Cricetulus griseus: one gene and its partners. The protein of the gene in region 1 purifies or fractionates together with the protein of each later gene. This does not show direct contact. Links are inferred from orthologs where the notes say so. Each region holds a gene or a part of one and is shown on either strand. Other genes may lie near its edges.

Region 1 (7,067 bases):
GTACAAGGATCAAAGGCACGGTACACACCATCCTAAGTGGGTATGGAGATCTGAACTCAGGCCCTCATGCTTGTATGACAAACATCTTACTAGCCCAAAACTATCTTTAAAAAAAAAAAAAGCCATCTATAAAAGATGCTAGGAACCAAATTCCCAGTGACATATATTTAATATCTACATGTTCTAAAAGTTGTGAAATGGTACACTATACATACGAGAAAGTCTAAATACCTTTACCTCTAGTGATAAGTCTCTTGATTGCTGGTTTCTCAGTTTTTCCATTTCTCTACGGAACTTTGATTCTTTTACCTCAAAACCACCCAATTCAGTTAAGATCTTAAAATTAAAAAGACATAACAATTATTCACTGAAATGTATTCTTATCATGTAGAACAGAATTCAAGAACACAAAATACACACCGATCCAGGCTCTGCTCCAACATCTTCCATAAATACTCTGCCAAACAGTTCTAAAGAAAGGCGCCATCGTCCCAGCAGCATGTCGTGAGAAATGGCCATTCCCATGAAGCTACACTGTGGTCTGAAAGGCGAGAAACAGAAGAGGGAGAAAGTAATTAACCAGTTCCCCAAATTCAGACTTTTGGTCAATAGCAGTACCTTTCTTGGTCTTTTTTAAGTGTTTCAAGCCATGTCCTATTTCATGAAAGACCCTTCCCGTGGGTGGTGTATGTGTGTGCGTGCACTCAAGCACAGGCAGGTGTCATATTACCACACATCTTCTATCTTCAAAGTCAAATGTCCATCTATATTCCCATACCCTCCAGAACTTTAATTTATTACCTATGTAAGTGATGCTTGCTTAGAGCCCAACATGGGCATGATTTAATGACAACATCCATCAGCACCATCTACTTCCCCGTGCAGATGTAAGGCACTTTTTCCTACCTTCTGTTCCACCACCTACCCTGGACATGATTTTCTTTCCAACCCTAAAGCTAATGGGCCAACTTAACCCCTTTTCCTCAAGCTAGAGCTATTACTAACTGGTCTTCAGACCTCTAATCCTTTTCTCCAACCTGGCCTAACCACCTTCTCACATGACCTCTAAGTCTAGGCGACTGCAGCACAGAAATCGCCTCGTGCTCTTTATGGCTGGAGACAGTGTCCATACAAGGCATCCTGTTCATTCCCTACTTAACTCCTAGGCATACCTATTTCATTAACTAGCTCATTAACTTAAGCAAAAATAATATACTTCTAGCCGAAAACTAAGGCATGAACAAGAGTCAGCAAATCACTTGGTGACCAATGAACACTAAGCAACACTACATGCTAGTAACTTATTTAGTAAACAAAAACCTGTCAGACATACCATCTGTGAGCCCCAATTAAACATGAGTCACAAGTCCTAAACAGTCTATTCATTCTAGTATTTACACGTTCTCCTTATCTGAGCTGCTGATAACACATCTGTAATTGACGGTTTTAAGTCAGTATATTAAACAGTAAGAAAAATAGCATCTTGGAAATTCAATACAGGAAAAAGAAGATCAATCTTTAAGACGTCATAAAGTCCAGAGAACTCATAGGAAACCACAGAGGAGTAACAGTAATTATGATACTTAACATATACAAATTTATAAAATATGGAACTTCTAATGAAAACTGAAGTCTAGCAGCCATAGGGGCATTACCTGAATGATGTAAGGGGCGGCCCTTCGCTTTCAGTGAGTCCGATCTCTGCTAGTAAACTGCTCTTCAACTGGGCAGCAACGTCGTGAGCTGACGGCCCTGGATTTGAACTCTCGGCTTCCTCAGCCAGCACACTCTGCTCTTCCCCTTCTTTCTTTTGGCGGTTTTGCATGTTCATTACATTTTTTAGATTGGCAGCGTAAGACATTTTAGTTGGAAGAACCTATGCAATTTTAGGTTTAGAAGTTACACATTAAGGGGGGGAAATGTTTTCAACTTAATGGAGCCCCACAGAAATCCTGAGTTAAGTCACGATGCCCCCCTCCCTTCGCAGAGCTTCCACCACCAAATGCAGTCTGCTCTTGTCGACCAGTCCTCGAGGACCACAACACCCAGTGCACTCACCAGAGTGCACTAGACAATTTTCAAGGCAATCTTAGCTATCTCTGGTACCTAAGTCTCATACATTCTCCTTTATCACTTAACTGCAAAAGAAAATCAATTCAGCTATCTTTCTCTTATGCTGCCTTTAAACATACTATTTTTTCCCTACAAAAACAGGATATAATTTTACCTCTCAAATCAGCCATATATATCTGAAAACTTTAGCTGTGTGATAACTGACATTCCCACTTGAAATTTATAATCTCTTCAAGCCTTATTTCTTACCTAAATCTTTTCTGGGTTATAAAGAATGAGACAGAATTACTGAGGTGTCATTACTAATTTATCTTTATCATTACTTATTTGTCTTTATTCTTGATTCAAGCAGCTCAGCACATCAAGGGAAATTTGAAGACAAAATTACATGTGCTCATTTATCGGAAGTGATCTTATCCGGAAACCTAGATTTTCAGCAGGACACATCAACCACGGGCTTCGGCACTAAGCACTAAGCATACCCCAGAGATATGTGATGTGTGAAAAGAGGAACAGTTCGATTATGCTGTAATAAAAGGGACTTGTGGCATTTCTACTATTGAGGGACATAAAATATTCTGAACTAACCCATCTGTTCAAATCTGGATGCTGGGAAAAGTGCTAACTAAGAAATACAGTGTAAACTTTTACTCTCTTACCTCAAGGCAATTTCTGTCCATTGTAACTTCCACTAAGCATTTCCCACTACTGGTAGACGAGGAATAAAGACCCTGACTTGGACGGCCAAACAGATCTTCCTTTCTAGCATTTGGCTGGAATTTAACAAGACATATTATAGTTAGATTGAACACTTCAACGTCAGCTGTAAAAGAGCACTGGACCTGTTTAGTTCACCTGCAACAAATGTGGCTGATCGGCCAGGGGGATAGCCTCAGCCAAAGGCACTTCAAATGGATTTGGGGGAATACATCCAAGGAACGTCATAGAGTCTGAACGTCGGAAAAAAGGGTGGTTTTGGCCAGTTTCTGCAGGGAGAGATTCATCATCCTTATCATTCAAAGTAGCACCTAAACATTAAAAATTAAAAAAAAAAAAAGTAAGTACAAAGGATAACAGAAAATTAATTTGCTCAATCCAAAATGCTTGGTAGCTCTTATAAAATGTTCATATACTAGAAAGTAAGTTAAAGGTTGGATTGGAAACAGACTCTCATTGTGTGGCAGCCTTGGCCAACCGGGCTGACCTGCCTCTACTTACCTCAGCATTGACATTAAAGGCCTGTGTGACACCACAGCTAGCATTTGATGCATTTTAAGTGACATTCCAAAAGAATTGAATGCATTATATATCACACAGCAATAAAAATGCAAGAGTAAAAAAAAAAAAAAAAAAAAAAAAAGCGGATGAACACTGCTCAAAAGGCTTCTTGCACCCTACCCTCTTCTCTTTAGATCCAGAGAATGGGCTAACACGGAACAACTAGTCTCCAGAGCATGTTCAGGGCTCAGCCTAGTGACAGCAAAAGGAGATGAAAGAAGTCGAAATCTCACTACCTGCTTACCACACTGAAATCAACAAGGAGCTGCCGAGCAGCTTCTGTGCCCAGCACACTAGCAGCAGCTCTCCTTAATGGAACCAAACTCTTGGCAGTGCCTACTAAGGCTGCGGAAATGGTGGGTTATGGCTGAACTTTCCAAGGGAGAAAGAAAAAAAAACCAAACCCACCATAACAAAACAACATCAACAACCACCAAAAACCAAACCCAGACCAGCTGTCTTTCCCTGAGCTAATAAAAGTATTAGCTGGGAGTAATAAAGAGGAAACTGGACTGTTGGTTCTTAATCTCTAACTCCCAACTAAAACAACAAGTTGGCTCTGTACCAACTGGTTCTCAATGCTGTTCCTCCTCATGCTGCGACCTCAACCATAAAAGTATTTTCATTGCTACTTCATAATTGTCCTTTTTGTTACTATTATGAATTGTAACGTAAATATCTGTGTTTTTCAATGGTCTTAGGCAACCCCTATGAAAAGATCATTCAATCCCCAAGGTGTCAAGACCCCAAGGTAGGTTGAAAACCACTGTTTCACAGAATCCTCCAATTTTGTGGCATTAAAACTTAACTTCTCAGCCGGGCGTTGGTGGCGCATGCCTTTAAATCCCAGCACTCAGGAGGCAGAGAATCTATGTGAGTTCGAGGCCAGCCTGGTCACCAGAGCAAGTGCCAAGATAGGCTCCAAAGCTACACGGAGAAACCTTGTCTCGAAAAAACCATAAAAAAAAAAAAAAAACTTAATTTCTCTTACTTTCTATAACTAAATCTGCATCAGAATTAATAAAGAATTAACATTTTCCATGATTTGAAGTAATGGTAAATATAAACTAAGAGAAATGAAAAAGAGAAATTCTGAAAAAGTAGAGACTGCTGGCAAATTCCCATTAATTCAGTCTGAATTATGAAATACACAATAGGAGAATGTGTAAGGAAAATGACAGAGAAGAGAAATCCCCACACAGACAGAACACAGTGCAGTCTAAAGGCCTGGAGGGAACCCCTGAGGCAGCAGCCATCTCTGAGGCAGGCATCTCCTGACCCTGCTTAGACTTACTTTGACTGGTGTCCTCGTCGTTCTCATGCTCCGAATCTTCATTGTCGATGCCCAGCTCCAAGAGTTCCCGTGTCCTAGGAAAAGAGCAAAGTTGGCCATTTAAATCATGCAAGAAAAGAGCATGAGAAATGTCACTTTGGTCTCTCTCTACCAGCATGTGGGACCCAAGGATTGAACTTGGGTGTTAGGCAAACACCTTGACCATCGGACACCTCATCCTGAGCTCTAACTCACACCTAACACTACTATTTTATAGTTTCAGATACTGGGTGGTAAAATGCTCTGCCAGATTCCCTGTAATAACAAAATAGGCTCAACAGAAGCCAAAATAAATAAGTATCACTGAAGAAATACTGAGTGTCTACACAAACTCTCATCCAAATTTTGACAAGACAAATATCTCACCAATTTAGTTTAACTGGGTTCCAAATTTTCATTTTAAGTGGGAAATCATGACAGAATAGTTGGATAGAGGTTGAGCCCACTTTCCTACATGAACTACCTTTGTTAGCTTCTGCAGGGCTGGTCTCCTTAATCCAAACTTAGAGACTACACCACATAGTTCTCAAACAAGACTCAAGGAAAGAAAGCATGGATATACCTTTTGCGTTCCAGCTGAGGGGTGTCCAGTGTTGTCTGTTGATTCATTGCTTTAATCCAATATATCAGGGCTTGGAAAACATAAGCCACATGTTTCAGTGAGCAGACGTCCAGCACCGGAAGGACATCAGAATGCTCGTCGTTATGAGACCGCATTAAAGAAAGGGCATAGTTGAGAAAGTCTCCTCGAGCAGACATCATCCCCTGACGGGCGCTAAGCAGTGTGGCACGCCTATAGGGACAACAACCAAGAAGATGTTTACAAAACCCACAAATAGAACTAAGAAATGGAAAGCACTGGGTTGAAGTGATTGATGGCTCATCAGTTAAGAGCACTTGCTACACTTGCAGAGGACCTGGGTTTGATTCCCAGCACACACATGGTGACTCACAACCACCCAGGACTCCATTTCCAGGGCAATCTGACACCCTCTTATTGCTTCCTCAGGTATTCCACATGTGCAAGACACTCATAAACGTAAGACTAAGTAAACCGTAAGAGAAAATAGAGCACTCAAATGCTCTTTGTATGTACTACTGCTTATGATTTATTGCCTAACACCAGTCTTAAAATGTCTGAATTTGCATTTCTGACAAGTTGCCCACTAAGGCAAGATGGTGGAGTTCTAGGAACCATGACGAGAAGCATCCACCTGTGCTGGCCATTGTGGTGTCAACCTGATACAAGCTAGAGTTCTTTAGGAAAAAGGATTAGTCAATGTATAAGCAGTTTCCTCACCGATGCTTGATGTGGGAGGGTCCAGCACACTGTGTGCATGGTGCCACCCCAAGGTGCTGTAAGAGAGCAGGCTCAGCAAGCCATAAGAAAGACAGTGAGCAGCACCTTTCCCAGGCTTCTGCATCGGTTCCTGCTGAGGGCCTGCCCTGACTCCCCTGGATAATGGACTATAAGCTGTGAGATGAGATAACACATGGTCATGTCTCATTTATCACAGCAATAGAAAAGCAAACTAAGACACAGCCTGAAAGCAGTGTCAAATGTGGGGAATGGTCACTCACGCTGTCCCATGCTTTGGGACATGGGAGGCAGAGGGATGGAGAGAGAAGCAGGTCAGGGCTATACAGCAAATTAGACACCAGACTGCTACACGGCAAAATTTTGTCTCTGAATGAATGAATGAAAGAATGAACGAACAAATGATACCAGAAAGCACAAGCAGCAAATGAAAGTGTAAGTGAACTGGACTTTTATCAAAATTAGAAACTTTTGTACTTCTCAAAGGACACCAACAAATGAAAAATTGTAGAGATGGCTGAGAAGTTAAGAGCACTTGCTATTCCTTCCAGGTGACACAAGTTTGGATCCCAGCACCCAAGAAAGGTAACACACAGCTGCCAGTAACTGCAGCTCCAAAGGAGCAATTCAATTGAGAATCAAGAAGTGACCTTCACTCAAATATATACACATTAAAAAAAAAACAGTTTGATAAGGAAGTATTATTCAAAATATATATACTCATAACTAAACAAAAAGTAAAAAAGTTAGCTTACAGCTGTGCAAAAGAGCTAAGCAGACATAGGGCAAACTGCCAGTCAGCACATGAAAAAATAATGTTGCAGCATCGTTGACAAGTCCAAACCATAATGAACTCAGATGTGTGAACTGAGATGTGACTGCAGACTGCAGGTCCCATGCTATATCACACCCACTAGAGAAACCCTATCTGTGCGTATAACCCCAGCACAGTCCAGATGCAGGAAGATTAGTATTCAAGGCCATCCTCTACTGGGAAATTACTTTAAAGCGGGGTGTGTGTGTGTGTGTGTGCGTGCGTGCGTGCGTGCGTGCGTGCGTGTGTAG
Region 2 (7,067 bases), on another chromosome or scaffold:
CAGGCTCAGGCTCACACTGCGACAACTAAGTGATAATGGGAATAGAACAGGAACCTCTTAAGGGGAGAACAGCTTTTGTAGTTTTTAAATATACTTGAATGACCTAAAGGCACTAAACATCACTAAGAGACTTGTAGTTTTACAAAAGTCCCCAGACCAAATCTTATATTTCTCATGCCTTTAAGCCGATTTTTTAAAAAATTAAATACACAAATTTTTAAGTCCTATAAGCCACTGATTGGGAGAACTGTCACTTAAAATGTAACTTACTGACATATTATTGCACTTCACAGATTACACAGAAATGTGTACAGTATGCTAAAGAATGTGACTAGGGAAATAAGCTATCATTGCTAAGTACAGAAGGTACAAATTAATTTACCAATGGCATCCTTAAATAGTAAAGCAAACAGCAACATCACTAACTTATTAATAAGCTAATCTTATTACTGATTTTTGGCAAATATTTGAAATAATTCCTGAGCATATTTTTCCACCATCAACTGGCAAAGCCTCAAGATAAGAAAAATGTTTTATTCAAAATGACACTTTTTATTTGTTTTTTTTCTTTGTTTTGTTTTTTTGCTTTTTTGTTTTTCTAAAATAAGAAAAAACATAGAATTAAAAAATAAAGAAAAAACTTAACCGGAAACTTTCTTGGCCTCACTGGGGACCATGCTTTAAGTACTTTGTAAATCGATTTACAGGCAATACTATAATATCTGTGCATATAAAAGATTATTTATCCTAATTTTTACTATCCAAAACCTATTGTCCAAACAGGCAGAAATCTTTCTCTATTAAATTGCACATACTAAAAAAATTCTTTCCACGTGCCTTGAAATTGATATATATCACTGTTCATCCATTAGTGATAAAATACTGAAATTTTCACTGTGAAAATAATTATCATTCAGAGAAGAAAATATTCTTTTACCTAACTCTTAGTTACTCTTTCAGGTAAAGTGTCATCCCCACAAAAACACTCAGTGCCATCCAAAAGAAAGTAAAACTAAACAGAGGGATGCAGTTTCCGTGGCTCTTCTAACAAATCAAAGAATAAGTCAAACCATTTAACTCGAGGTTGAATTTCTCCTCCTTTCAATTTATTGTTAAAACTGGCCCAAATGAATGGCCACAGTGACTTCTCTTCACCAAGAGGATTTCCAACCCCTTTTCTTTCTAACGAAAGAATTGATGCTTTCCCAGGCTAAGGGAACCTCAGTGGCGCCTACAGTGTGAACTCACTCTGGCCAGCTAAATCTTCGGAACTATGGAAATCTCCCCCTTAGGTAGCTAGGCTGCTGATCTTTTGGAAACTGGGGTATGAAACTCTGAACATAATGGCAGCTGAAATGGCTCTATGAATTAACAGTCTGGGGTAGGCAGCTGAAGGAAAAAGACACACTAAATGCAGGCAGCAGATGTGTGATAAAAGAGAAAGAGAAGCAGGGAACAGTGGTGGGGGGAGTCCTAAAATTAGGCAGAAAAGCAATTTCATAATCAGAAGGTTTCCTGATTATGACAGCTTGCCATCTTCCCAGAGCCTCGGGAGGAATTCTACATCTCAGCTTCCACTTATCCACTAAATGTTGCTTGGTGGCTTACAGGCATCAGAATGTTAAGTGGGCGGGTTAAACCTGGGCAACACACCATGAGGAAAAAGACAATCTCTAAAGTGCGTTTTTTTCTTAGAGATTTTCACCCTGACCCTTCGTCTTCCACCTCCACTCTGACCCAGGTTAATTTACGGAAAATGGAAGCAAGGCCTGCTGCTCCTGCGGGAACCTAGAGCATGGAGAGAGGAGGAGGACCCCTAGGGGCCACCTCCCTGGGGAGCATAGAGGATGAACCATGAAAACATAGTGATTATGTTTGACCAATCTGTAAATGTGTGGCCGTCATGAAGAAATCAATGGCCTGCCACTGGTATGATCACTCTGCCACACTAAATACAGTAAGGCTCATCTTACTTTTAGAACACAAGAAAGGGAGAAAAACTATTTCAGAAAGTATAAAAACTTAAAGCATTGTCCCCATGTATTTTATAAAAACAAAACAAACTCTTACATCAAGTGCTGAAAAGATAAAAACGAGTCGAGTTTCTGAGCAAATAAAAACAGGTCTGAGCTATACTATTCAACCCAATAAGGCTCAGCTATAACGCATTTTTCAGCTTGCCAGCATCAGGGGGATTGGAGCTCAGCTAACGAGTTTTGGCAACATTGTCCTCTGCTGAATATTCCCATTGGCATCTGTCATCTGTGCCAAATTAGTCCTCAGCTTGGAAGCTGAGCTGGAAGGTGGAGGTAACTTGGAAATCGACGTGATAGCACCAGCGCTGTCCGTGACCCTCTTCACCGCTGTCTTCTCCCCAGTCGGAGGCTTTGGCAATCGCCTCCTGAGCCAGGGGTGCCGCAAAGCCTGGCCCGGGGTCATGCGGACCGCGGGATCCCACTCCAAACACTGTTTTAAGAAGTCAAGGAAAAGAGGGTCATCACATCCCTTCAGTGCGTTCCCCCACTCTCTGCTCTCTGGCGGGCCCCTCAGTTTCCCTCTCCGGGATCGGCCTCCGTTGAGGACTACTGAGCCATCTGAAAGAGTTGTGACAGTGCAGTACCGGGGATAACCCTTGGAGCTCACGAAATTTTTGGCTCGTTTGGAAGCATCCAGGAGTTTCTGGGAGGGCATGCCCAAAAGCTCAATCATACAAGCTAGTTGGTCCCCTTCATCCTCCCCAGGCAAGAGGGGGTAACCTGTCAGGAGTTCCGCGAGGATGCAACCCAGGCTCCACATATCAATGGGCATGCCGTACCTGGCTCCAAGGATCACTTCCGGAGCCCGGTAGAAGCGCGACTGGATGTACGTGTAGACACGCTGGTGCTCATAACAACTGGAGCCAAAGTCAATCACTTTAATACTGCTTCTACCTTGCTGCTTTAACAAAATATTCTCGGGCTTAAGGTCACAGTGGATTATTCTGTTTTTGTGCAAAGCATCCAAACACTGCAGGATCGAGTGGGCAAACTTGCGCACCAGAGGCAGGCTGAAGCCCTGGAATTTATTCTTCTTGATAAGCTCATAGAGGTTCATGCTCAGCAACTCAAACGTCATGCAGATGTGGTTGCGGAAGGTAAAATTCTCCAGCATGTGGATGACGTTCATAGTGTTGTCTTTATCCTGCTTCCGTAGGTGTTCCAAGATTCGGATCTCCTCTGCCGCCTGCCGGTGGAAGCGCTTCTCGTTCCGCACCATCTTCAGGGCCACGTGCTGGTGGACTTTGTGGTCATAGGCCTTGACCACCTGCCCAAAGCTCCCCTTCCCAATGACCTTGAGGACCTCGTACCTGTAAGCCACGTGATCATGGGGCACCTGTACATATGATCCCTGGTCATCATCATAACCCCCATTGTTGGGTCCACCTGTCATGCCTTGGCGTTTCTTTGCATTTGGACCCAAGAAATATATTTCAGGGTAGCTAAAAATCTCATGGTGTTCAAAGGCTGTGAGTTTTTGCATGTATTGCTTCATCGCTTGTTCGGGTGTCATGGGGGTGGCTTTCACCTTCCCCATGCCTTCCATGGACTTGAGAGAGGTGGAACTCCCCTGCCGTCTGTGAATGCTTTCCAGCTGCCGCTCGGGCACCACAGGCAAGCCTGTTTTGCCCACTGTTGTAAGCCCATTTGGTTGTGTTGTAAGCACTGTTCTTTTGTTACTGTTATCCTCAAACAGCTGCTGAACCTGGATCTGGCCGTGGCTGTGGCTGCTGATGTGGAGGTGGTCATTCATGGTGTGCTTACCGCCGCCAATCTGGAATCCAGACAAGAAACATAAACAGAAAGGAAGGGGCCTTCTCTCCAAACGTGATATTAGAAATCAGCTCTCATTACCCAACCCCCAATTTGGCATGAACCTACAGCCACAGTGTGTGTACCCAAGAGATCCCATGAACGTACCAGCAGGGAGAGCGAATAGGATGCTAATAGGCAAGACAGTAAAAGAAAAGGAGGACAGTAGATTGGGCAAGGTTAGGAAACATAGGACAGCCCTGGGAATGCCACAGCTACATAGCCTGGGTCCTAGAAGTCAGTTTTCCTGAAGGCAGGGATCAAACCTTCCTGTTACCATGTTGCACCTAATGTTTAATAAGAAGCCTGGCACATGGTGGGTATTTTAAGCCATAACTGATCTGAAAAGGAAACAAGTGAAGCACACAGGTGACGTGTCATCCACACTGCTGCCCACACCCAGATCACAGTGTCTTCCCCTTTTATTCAGGCATTCTTTACTTACATGAGAATGGGGAATCACATTTGTCCAGCACTCCCTCGCATATCCAGCCCACCTCCAGAAACACTTTATACTTCCCTAGTCCCTGGAGGTTCTAATTAATCTAGGAACACACACAGTAATAAACAAAATGTGCTTCTATTGACAGAGTCTCCCATAGACACGTGTGCCCTAGTTACCTTGCAAACTCCAAACCTTTTTTTTTCTTTTTAACAGTTACTGGGTGTCACTGACTTTAATCAGTTAAGGTCATTCTGTGCAACAAGCTGAACAATTGCCATTCAGCTTGGACCGCTGGATTACAGCTCAGTACCCACACATGTATCTCTACTTCTACAGGCTGTTGTGACCCTCAGCTTTCCAATAAAGAAAAACATGATGTTAATACTGCCACCTCGGCAGGCTGTAGAACTACCTAGGAGGTGTGTCCCCTAAAGAGTTTCTAGATTGGGTAAACTGAGGTGGGAAGAGGCAAACTAAATATGGTTGGCACTGTTCCATGGGCTGTGGTTCAAGACTGAATAAACAAAGTAAACCTAGTATCAGCAGCCTGCAACTTTCTGCTTCCTCCCTGCAGATGCCACACATCAGCTACCTCGGGTTCCTGCCACCATGCCTTCACTGCCATGACAGTGTAGCCGGTCTTCAACTGTGTCAGCCAGAATACACCCCTCCTCCTTTAAGTTGTTTCTGCACAGCTATTTGCTCCCAGCAAAGGAAACAGTAACCAATACAAATACAAAGTGGCAATTTCTATTTCGGGCACACATACCATCCCGGAATAGTCCTATTTAAACAAAACCTACAGGCCAAAGGCAGAGCCCCCACTCTCCTACCCAGAATCCGCCTGGAATTTCCTTCAAGCAGCCCACTAGGGAAATTCTTCCTTGAGATCTCAAAGAATCAACTTGTCACCAAAATCCACCTCACTCATTCAACCAGCTGTAAGGAGGGACTAGCTACAGAGTGGCAGGAACTCTGCCCATTGGGAATTTATAGTAAATAAAACAGTCCTTTGTCATCAGTGCTAAGTCCTCTGTTTGGGGCATTCATATTCTGGGAAGAAAGAAGTACAGTAGAGAAGCACAGTGATTTGAGAAATACCTTGGGAACACCTGGATTATAAAATGAAATTCCGGCCCTTCCTTCCTTACTAACAGGCGATGACCTTCACCGTCTTTTTTTTTTTTTTTTTTTTAACTGACAAGCAGCAAGCATAATGGCCATCTATGGAGTGAGGCTCTGCTCCGCTCACTTCTAAAAGAGAAAGAAGCCAGTTCCTGGACCTGATTTCACGGGATCAAGAATTTTACTTCTCAAGACTTCTAGCAGATTTCTCTTATTGAACACACAGATGATACCTCCATGTAGGGTGGCTTTATATTCCACTAAGGCAGTTGTATCTCTTCCTGCTTCAAAAGCAAGGCAGTCCATAAAAGACATTAGAAAAGTCTTGATCATATACAAAAGCAGCACAAACTTGTTATTGTTCTTTCCCTCTCTCTCTTCCTTCCCTTCCCCATATTTTTAAGATGCCAGAGTTAGCCAAGAACACACTAGCAAAGTCTAGCCCTAGGGAAAGAAAAAAATAAAAAACTTGCCACCATCACCCACCGCCACCTCTCACAGGCTAGGTGGCTGAGTGCTCCATCATGCCCTCATCCATCCACTGCTTTTCCTCCAAAGCCTCATTCACCCCTGTGCTCTCTTTTCTCTGAAGTCTTTCAAACACTGGGGATGAAAAGATTTGAAACCTCTCTCTTCAGGGCAAGATGGAGGACACTTCAGAAGAACCGACATTACTCAGATCTGTGCTTTACCACTCATGAAGCACATTAAGGACAAAATCAACCTTGGGATTTTAGGAGTCCTAAAATGCTAGGAAAAGGAAACATTTTGAGCATCAAGGATTTACTCTGATTTAGGTCATTGCAATTAAATTTTGTAGAAACCAAACATTATTTCAAATATTTTAGTGACCAGAACTAAAGAGCTTGCCCATAACCTGGCCTACCACCTCTCTCCACCTGCCTTCTCTTGCCCTCCTTTAGCAGTATCAGCTATGGCTGCCTGCTCATAGATGGATCTAAGCTTCTATTCTCTTGGGTTTTCCACTCCTACAATTTCCTGGTCCATCCTGCACACAGCCAGGATGTCAGGAGCACCCATAATTGGCTGCGGTCTCTCCTGTGTCCTCTTGCAGACCTGCCCATCCATGCCCCTTTGCCCAACTGCTAAAGGGAGTTTCCACTCCCACAAGCAACTGGAACAAACTCATAACTTCTCTTTATAAAACCAAATGTTTTCTTGCTATCATAATCCTCAACTTTAAAAAAAAAAAAAATTCAAAACAGAAAAAAAGAACCCTCTTCCCAAATAATCACTCTGGCTAATACTTGGGAATCCCTGACAGTGTATATACCTGGAAACCACTCTCAGCATCTGCCCACTTCCCACACTATCATGAAGCCTTCTGTGCCCACTCACTCATGCCCTATCAGTTACATTTCACCTTCTGCTGTTTTCACTGGGACAACTGAGGCAGATATGCAGGCAGCAGACAGACAGACAGACAGACACACACACACACACACACACACACACACACTAGCCTAAACTCCCCAAATCTTTCTCCACAGTGCTGCTTGAGATGGCATGTATATACTGTCCTTCTGAGACTGCTCTTGCTTGTGGCTCATGGCTGCATCCCACTACCACATCTAATGCATGCAGCGAGAACACATCTCAGAGTTCTTCCAGTCTGATCTACATATTGT
Region 3 (7,067 bases), on another chromosome or scaffold:
CTTGTGGGAAGATCAGACACAACACCACATTTGTATAGTGTTCCTTCTCTCAGCACTCTTCGTGAGATAATGGCTCATTATGTAGCCACGTCTGGCCTCAAACTCTCCATTCTCCTGCCTGAGCCTCCTGAGATTTAGAAGTGTGCATCAAATGGACATCTTTAAGGCCCCGAAATACCCGTATCCTAAGAGCTTTCTGATATTGTCCTAGGATTTGACACTGCTACCAGTAACACAGCCTACTCTAGTAACACATACTCTAGTATGTCTCATCTACTATGACTATCACTTTCCCATGTAAGCTGCAAGATGTGTGAAGGAGAGAAACATGTTTTATTAAGCATTTATCCTATCACCTCCTGTGCCTTGCACAAAGTAAGCAGGCAAAAAATAAAGAATGAAGAAGCCCTGGCCATAGAAGATGTGTTTAAGAATGTAGTTTTCTTCAAATGAACAGGTAGAAGCATGCCCTCTTCCTTCAATCTCCATTTCTTTGTTTAGTAATCAGTAGTTAAAGTTTGGTTGTTGATTACTTTTTCCTAAACACTGAAGATTCTCTGGTACAAAGTCCTGGCCATTAGCTGGAAAATTCTGTAACTCTGGGTCCTGATCCATAGACTGGAGAATAAGTACACGATGATTAAGTGAAGTAACAGATACAAACTCAAGAGTGCTTGGAATATACCGTTGGTCAATGCAGAATGAATGCCCATGTGAATTCAATTAAGATAGACAGGTTTATAATCAGACAGTCCGTTCCCACTCACACATTCAGTAATCCAGCGGCAGGCTTTTAACCACAAAATAACTGATATGCCAAAATGTGCATCGAACAAAAGTCATCAGTGAATACTCACACAATGGCCCTTAGCACTCTCAGACCAGCAGGGAGCACCCTTAGCACTCTCAGACCAGCAGGGAGCACCCTAGCACAGTTAGGTTCCCTCCAAGCTGCCCCAGCGCTTATTCCAAGTGATAGCTTCCCATGTTGGACAGACTCAGTTACATTTCCTTCTCCCCACCTTCCCCTTTTAGTTAAGTAAGAATCCCTTCTACTGTCTTTACTGTGGGCTTACACATTTTAGCTGTTCTCAAAATGAAGACACGCTGTGAGGGTCCTCAGCACACCCTGAGTAAGAAGCTGTCTAGCTTAAATTCCTAACCTTGGATTGTTATTCTTTTGCTTAGGTGCCAAATGTTATTCCTTTGCTTAAATTAGAAATAAAAGAAGAGGGGGCCGCAAGATGAGACATGAGACTATTAGACATATTAACCAGTTTATTGTAGGCCTGGCAGAGTAGAGAGACTAAGAAAGAAGAGAAACAGGGTTAATGGCTGACCGCCATGGCCGGTCGCCAGAGAGAGAGAGAGAGAGAGAGAGAGAGAGAGAGAGAGAGAGAGAGAGAGAGAATAGGTGGGAGAAAAGAAGAGCAGGAGAGAGTAGAGAGAACGTAAATGGACAGGGGTCTGTCTTTTAAAGGGGTCCTTTGCACCTGTGTGCAGACTTAGTTCCTTCCCATGGAACCCTGGGCTGATCCGGGTACTGCCTGAGCAGATTCCGGCAGGTAACAGAGGCAGGCCAGCATAACGCCTGAACCTTTCATGGTCTTCCTCAGTGACTTGAAACACTTTTGACACATTATCTCCTGGGTTGGGTCATAGCAGTGGAAAGCATGCTTATAGCATGCATAAAGTGTGGTCTCCAGCATTTAGGACAAACAGAAGGAAAACAATACATTACAAACCCACAACCCTCTCTCTTAAACTGCTGGTGAAGGAAACCAACACAACACATTTTACTTCCCTCTGCGTCTTAGCAATAAAGAACTAAGAACAAACTGTAGGGGCTGACTCACAAGATGAAGTGTTCCCAAATGGTCCACACAGGAGCTCTTCCAAGAATGTATAATTTTCTAAGTTATTAAAGAATCACTTTAAGTGATTCTCTTTAGAAGTATTGTGAATTTTAATTTTAAAAAATTAAGTTGTGGTATTTATATCTTTGGGGGTGGGTAATGCTTTGGACTGAACCTAGGGTATTATGTGCTTGCCAGAGAAGGGAAGCTATATCCCCCAGCTGGTTTAAAAAAAAAAAAACTTTTTAAAGATTTTATTTATTTATTTATTATGTATACAACATTCTGCTTCCATGTATATCTGCACTCCAGAAGAGGGCACCAGATCTCATAACAGATGGTTGTGAGCCACCATGTGGTTGCTGGGAATTGAACTCAGAACCTTTGGAAGAGCAGTCGGTGCTCTTAACCTCTGAGCCATCTCTCCAGCCCTGGTTTTAAATTTTTATATCAAATACTGATGGCAGCAACCATATTTAAAAAAATAGGTAACTGTCCTTCAACCATGTAATGACATTTTGAGAAGGTGCCATCCATGAACTAGAAATCCTTATGACAGCACACCCGCTGGACCTTGATTTTGGATGTCCTGGCTCTCAGAAATGTGAAGGCCTGCTGGGTGCTGGGATTGTTACTTACATTTGTAAGTAACAAACATAGAGCTACTTCTAGATTTCTAAGTTCTATACTGAGACAGTACCAGTTTTAAGCAGTCACTGTTGGTGTGGCTCAGTGGTAGTGTGTGTGTGCTGAACAGCACAAGGCTGAGTTCAAACCCGAGTCCCCAGCAGCTTCCCCTAACTATACATAACACAAGAAAAGCCACGACCTTCCTAAAGACAAAGTCTCCCACAACCTACTACAAATCAGCTCTGACTTAGCGCCCAAAGAAACAGCATGCATAAGTACAAAAATTAATTTACGTTAATTTTCCTTTTTGCCTATCCAAACAGGAAAAATGAGAATGACATTAGATACTGAGTTATAAAATAAAATGTAGTTTCTAAATTTTTTAAATTGTGAAAGGGGAACATCACTAGCAAAAGTTTTTCCAAGGCCAGGTGCGGTGGCTTACATGGGAGGCTAGGAGAAGACCAGGAATCCAAGGCCAGACTGAGGTACAACGACGTCAAGGACAGCTGGAGCTACGTAAGACTCTATCTTAAAACAAAAGAACCTCTTCTCAATTTTATTTCTACTAAAAACAAAGTTATATTTCCCTTATGATAAGAGTTTGGCTAGCACTATCAATTTCCCAGTCTTTAAAATAACAGCACTGGGCTCAGGAGACAGCCCAGCCAAAGTCAGGCCACACTTGCATCAGGACCCAAGTGGGATCATCAGAACATGAAAAAAGGCTGGGTGTGGTGGGGAACACTCACAATCCCAGCACCCAGCAAGCAAGTGGAAGATCTCTGAGGCTCAGTGACCAGGAAGCCAAGCCTAATTGGCAAATTCTGGGCCAATGAAAGACTTTGTCTCAAAACCAAACAACAACCTCTGCAAACAACAAGCCCAGTGTTGATAGCAATTGAAGACTAACCTAACACCAAGGCCTCTGGCCTCCACATGCATGCATGTATGTTATGCACATATGTATTTATGTATGCACGTACACTTACACACACATAGCACTGAATCAGCTGACTATGACAGTACTCAATTTCCTTAAGCTCATTTTATGATCACTGACGTTCTCCTTACAGCTAATATTCTGATTTGAAGAGGAGAAAAACTTGGTACCACATTTTTATTTTTTATTTTGTGGAGTATACACACTGTCATCTCACCTTGTTCCTCTTCACCACTAAGTACAGTAAGAGTTAGAACAGAGGGACAAACAGTATTCCAATGAGCTGCCTGGGCCTGTTTCACAATCATGCTTTCCCCAAGAAGCAAATTACACTTTGAAATGGTCCTCTGTACCTTGGAAGGGAGAGCTGTGTACCTGTAATGTATCTTGTCTTATGCTGATTTTCTGAGGTGCTTCATGGGCACTTTCTGAAGAATCCTCAAAATCATCAGTTTCTGAGGATGACGGACTCTCTACTGTCACAGTCACAGGAAAATCTGATTGCTTAAATAAAGAGGATAAAACTTAATGCCATAAGACAAATAATAAACACTAGAGGCCATCTGCTTAAATCAACCTGTCTGAAATGCCAAGTTATTACCTATAAATGGATCTCATTGCTCCTTAGCCTAACACAGTTAACAACCAGAAACCGCCACTAACTTTTTTTTTTTTCTTTTAGTTTTTTCAAGACAGGGTTTTCTCTGTGTAGCTCTCTGGCTGCCCTGGAACTTGCTCTGTAGACCAGGCTGGCCTCAAACTCACTGAGATCCACCTGCCTCTGCCTCCCAAGTGCTGGGATTAAAGGCCACCACCTAGCTGCTAACTTATTCTTGCTGTTACTACAGAACCCTGTACTGCATAAGGCTGATTATTGTTTGGCACTGTCCACATTACTTTGCTAAATTCCACCTAGATAAATCAAGTTTAGATCCAGGATAAACATTTCTTTTCAGGGTAATTTTTGTACGGGGGATGATAAATTTACTCTAAGGTGAGACATAAAGAGTGTGGAAGTATAATTTTTAGGGGAAAAGAATGAATAGAATATAAGGTCAATAAGCTTATCTGTAATTGATAAATAGTAGAATGGTTTTAAAAACTAAGTCACATACATATACAACCCACCAGAAAAACCTCACCTTCACTTCTCTGCATCCTAGACTAGTGTAGTAACAGTGTAACTCTCCTGTCTAGTTTCAATGAGGTGTCCCTCTAGCTAACAACTAATGTGACGATCATAACCCTACTGAAAATGTACACAGTCTAGGGACAACTCTGCAGGATATGCAAAACTTCAGTGGCAGAACGAGATGACCTCCTAATGTGTTAGTGTATACAGCGTAACACCAACACACAGGGTGGTACACTAGATGTTCTCCTCCGTGAATGACTACAGGGTGACACAGCACTCTGACGGAAGTAGCCTGATCCAGAACTGAGGCAGTGGGATAAGGACTGTTTGTGACCCTGACTTGAACACGTGGAGTGTTGTGCATGATTGCGTGCGTGCGTGCGTGCGTGCGTGTGTGTAAAATACATATAATACTCCAAAGCAACATTGGAACATTTTTGAGTGGTCATCCCCTGGTCAAACCTATTGTAAGCATCATCTTTTTTGTAGAAATAGTATCTACAAAGGGCCTCCCAAAGTATGTGTCATATACATGTAACTGTACCATGGTAGCCAGGAATCCAGAGAGCTTTAAATACATTTATGTCAGGGAGGGAAAACCATCCTACAGAGCTCTCTATTCAGCTGACCCTACACTTCTACTCTAATCCCTTATATGTCAGAAACATGACAGATACATACCTTCAGAAGGTTAGGCATATCACGAGTTTTGAACAATGGAAAACCCCTAAAAGGATATCAACAAGTTATATTTTAATGTATACACACTACATGATTAAACTTATTTGTATTATGTACACTATCCATATAGAACCACAGCACTAAATACCTCTAAATCACCTATGAAAAAAACCTGAACAGACCAAGCAGAATGTCATTCTGACAGGTTACTTAAACATAGCTGGTTCCCGAGGATTGGTAGATACAGTCTGCTTTTTTGTCTTTCCTTAGGGCACTCCTTTGCAGAGGCTATGCGTGAGTCACCCCTTTCCACTTAAGAAATCAACAGGAGAACTCCTATGTAACAGAAGCTCCTAAATGACAGCAGTCAGGACTGAGGCACATGACAGAGAACACCTTACCTGTTTCTTCTTGCACGTTCTGCAGTGCGCCAGGGCAGGAAACCTGACGCGCCTGGTGGCAGAGGATCTGGGGCATAGCAGTCTTTACTGAGCCCGTGTTTTCTCCCATTATTCCCAGGTTTCTTTGTAGCTAACCCTATGTTCAAGGAAGACATAAAAGAAAATCAAGATGTACTAAAGGACTACAGATTACCATTCACACACTCCTAACAGAACACAAATGAATAACTGACTACGATGCCAAGGCTATTACAGTACAAGTGATTTATAAACTTTGTTTTTTGAAAACGGGTTTCTCTGTCTAATTCAGGCTACACTTGAACTTACGACCCTCCTGCCTATGACTTAACAGTGTGTGGATTACAGGAATCCCTGCCCAAAAAGGCTGAAGGTTACTGAGTGGATGTTATCCTCATTTTGATGACTTTCAGTCTTCACATGAGTATAGAACACACACACACACACACACACAAAGATGAAATGAGGAACTTACCTTAAAGTCAACACTAAGAATTAAACATGAAATACTTGTAGCAGTTAAACCCATATATTAACACATTATTAGAAGAAATCATATATTAAAGTTCACATTTTAAGTTTTTGTCTCTAATATCACTGAGAACAAATAACAAAAGTTTACTAAATCAGTTGTATTTAATCTTATCCCTAGACATCAAAAGTTTTAGACCAGTCATAATAAGATCCTGTTTTGAAAAGAACAAAAAGTAATAAAAGTAAAATAGAATGGTCGTGTATATCCCTCTGGTTTGTTGTACTAGGATGCCATCTAAAATGAAGCACATGTAGTTATATAGCACATATATTTCTTTTAAAGTCATTTTAAAAAAAAGCACACTGATTTGTGTATGTGTGCTGTGGCATGCAGGTGGGCAATTAGAGGACAACTTGCAGGAGTCAGTAATATCTTTCCACCATGTGGGTCCTGAGAATCGAACTCAGGTCTTTAGGCTTGCTGGCAATTGCCTTCCCCTGTGCTGTCTCAGTGGCCCAAGGTGGATATTTCATACAGTGTAACTAACTCACTGATAATCACCACAGTCCTGTGCCATTTTCTGCATACATCAGTGTAACTATTAAATTGCAGGAACTCAGTTCGTCCTGTGCTATTGCATTTTTTATTTTATTACTATTATTTTTTAAGGCAGCGTCTCACGCAGTCCAGGCTAACCTCAAACTTGCTGTGTAGCTGAAAATCCCCTTGAACTGATTCTCCTGCCACTACCTCACAAGTACTTCCATGTTTGTTTTTTCATACAGAACAAGCATTCCAGTCTATGGCAGTATATATACCCCATTTCTTTGATTTTTCAGAAAAACGATAACATTTTTAATTAAGACTAAAAAGGTTTGTATGTATCTTGTTAGCTGAAAAAAAAAGTAGTAAAATAAAAGTTCTTATC

What was found.
Region 2: the proteins of Ubr5 (region 1) and Dyrk2 purify together in Homo sapiens (affinity purification with western blotting; 3 studies listed by BioGRID and IntAct, with this or other methods). This does not show direct contact. The link is inferred for Cricetulus griseus from reciprocal best matches to the Homo sapiens genes UBR5 and DYRK2.
Region 3: the proteins of Ubr5 (region 1) and Cep78 purify together in Homo sapiens (affinity purification with western blotting; 3 studies listed by BioGRID, with this or other methods). This does not show direct contact. The link is inferred for Cricetulus griseus from reciprocal best matches to the Homo sapiens genes UBR5 and CEP78.

What each region holds. Positions count from the first base shown.
Region 1 is NC_048603.1:13,794,663-13,801,729, reverse strand, and holds part of Ubr5 (E3 ubiquitin-protein ligase UBR5), read right to left. Parts: intron 5,478-7,067; coding exon 5,247-5,477; intron 4,720-5,246; coding exon 4,646-4,719; intron 3,102-4,645; coding exon 2,929-3,101; intron 2,847-2,928; coding exon 2,733-2,846; intron 1,877-2,732; coding exon 1,656-1,876; intron 542-1,655; coding exon 421-541; intron 337-420; coding exon 232-336; intron 1-231. UniProt on the Homo sapiens protein: E3 ubiquitin-protein ligase involved in different protein quality control pathways in the cytoplasm and nucleus. Mainly acts as a ubiquitin chain elongator that extends pre-ubiquitinated substrates.
Region 2 is NW_023276806.1:137,765,880-137,772,946, reverse strand, and holds part of Dyrk2 (dual specificity tyrosine-phosphorylation-regulated kinase 2), read right to left. Parts: intron 3,811-7,067; coding exon 2,203-3,810; 3' UTR 1-2,202. UniProt on the Homo sapiens protein: Serine/threonine-protein kinase involved in the regulation of the mitotic cell cycle, cell proliferation, apoptosis, organization of the cytoskeleton and neurite outgrowth. Functions in part via its role in ubiquitin-dependent proteasomal protein degradation.
Region 3 is NC_048596.1:45,106,095-45,113,161, reverse strand, and holds part of Cep78 (centrosomal protein of 78 kDa), read right to left. Parts: intron 5,783-7,067; coding exon 5,647-5,782; intron 5,292-5,646; coding exon 5,246-5,291; intron 3,934-5,245; coding exon 3,805-3,933; intron 1-3,804. UniProt on the Homo sapiens protein: Centriole wall protein that localizes to mature centrioles and regulates centriole and cilia biogenesis. Involved in centrosome duplication: required for efficient PLK4 centrosomal localization and PLK4-induced overduplication of centrioles.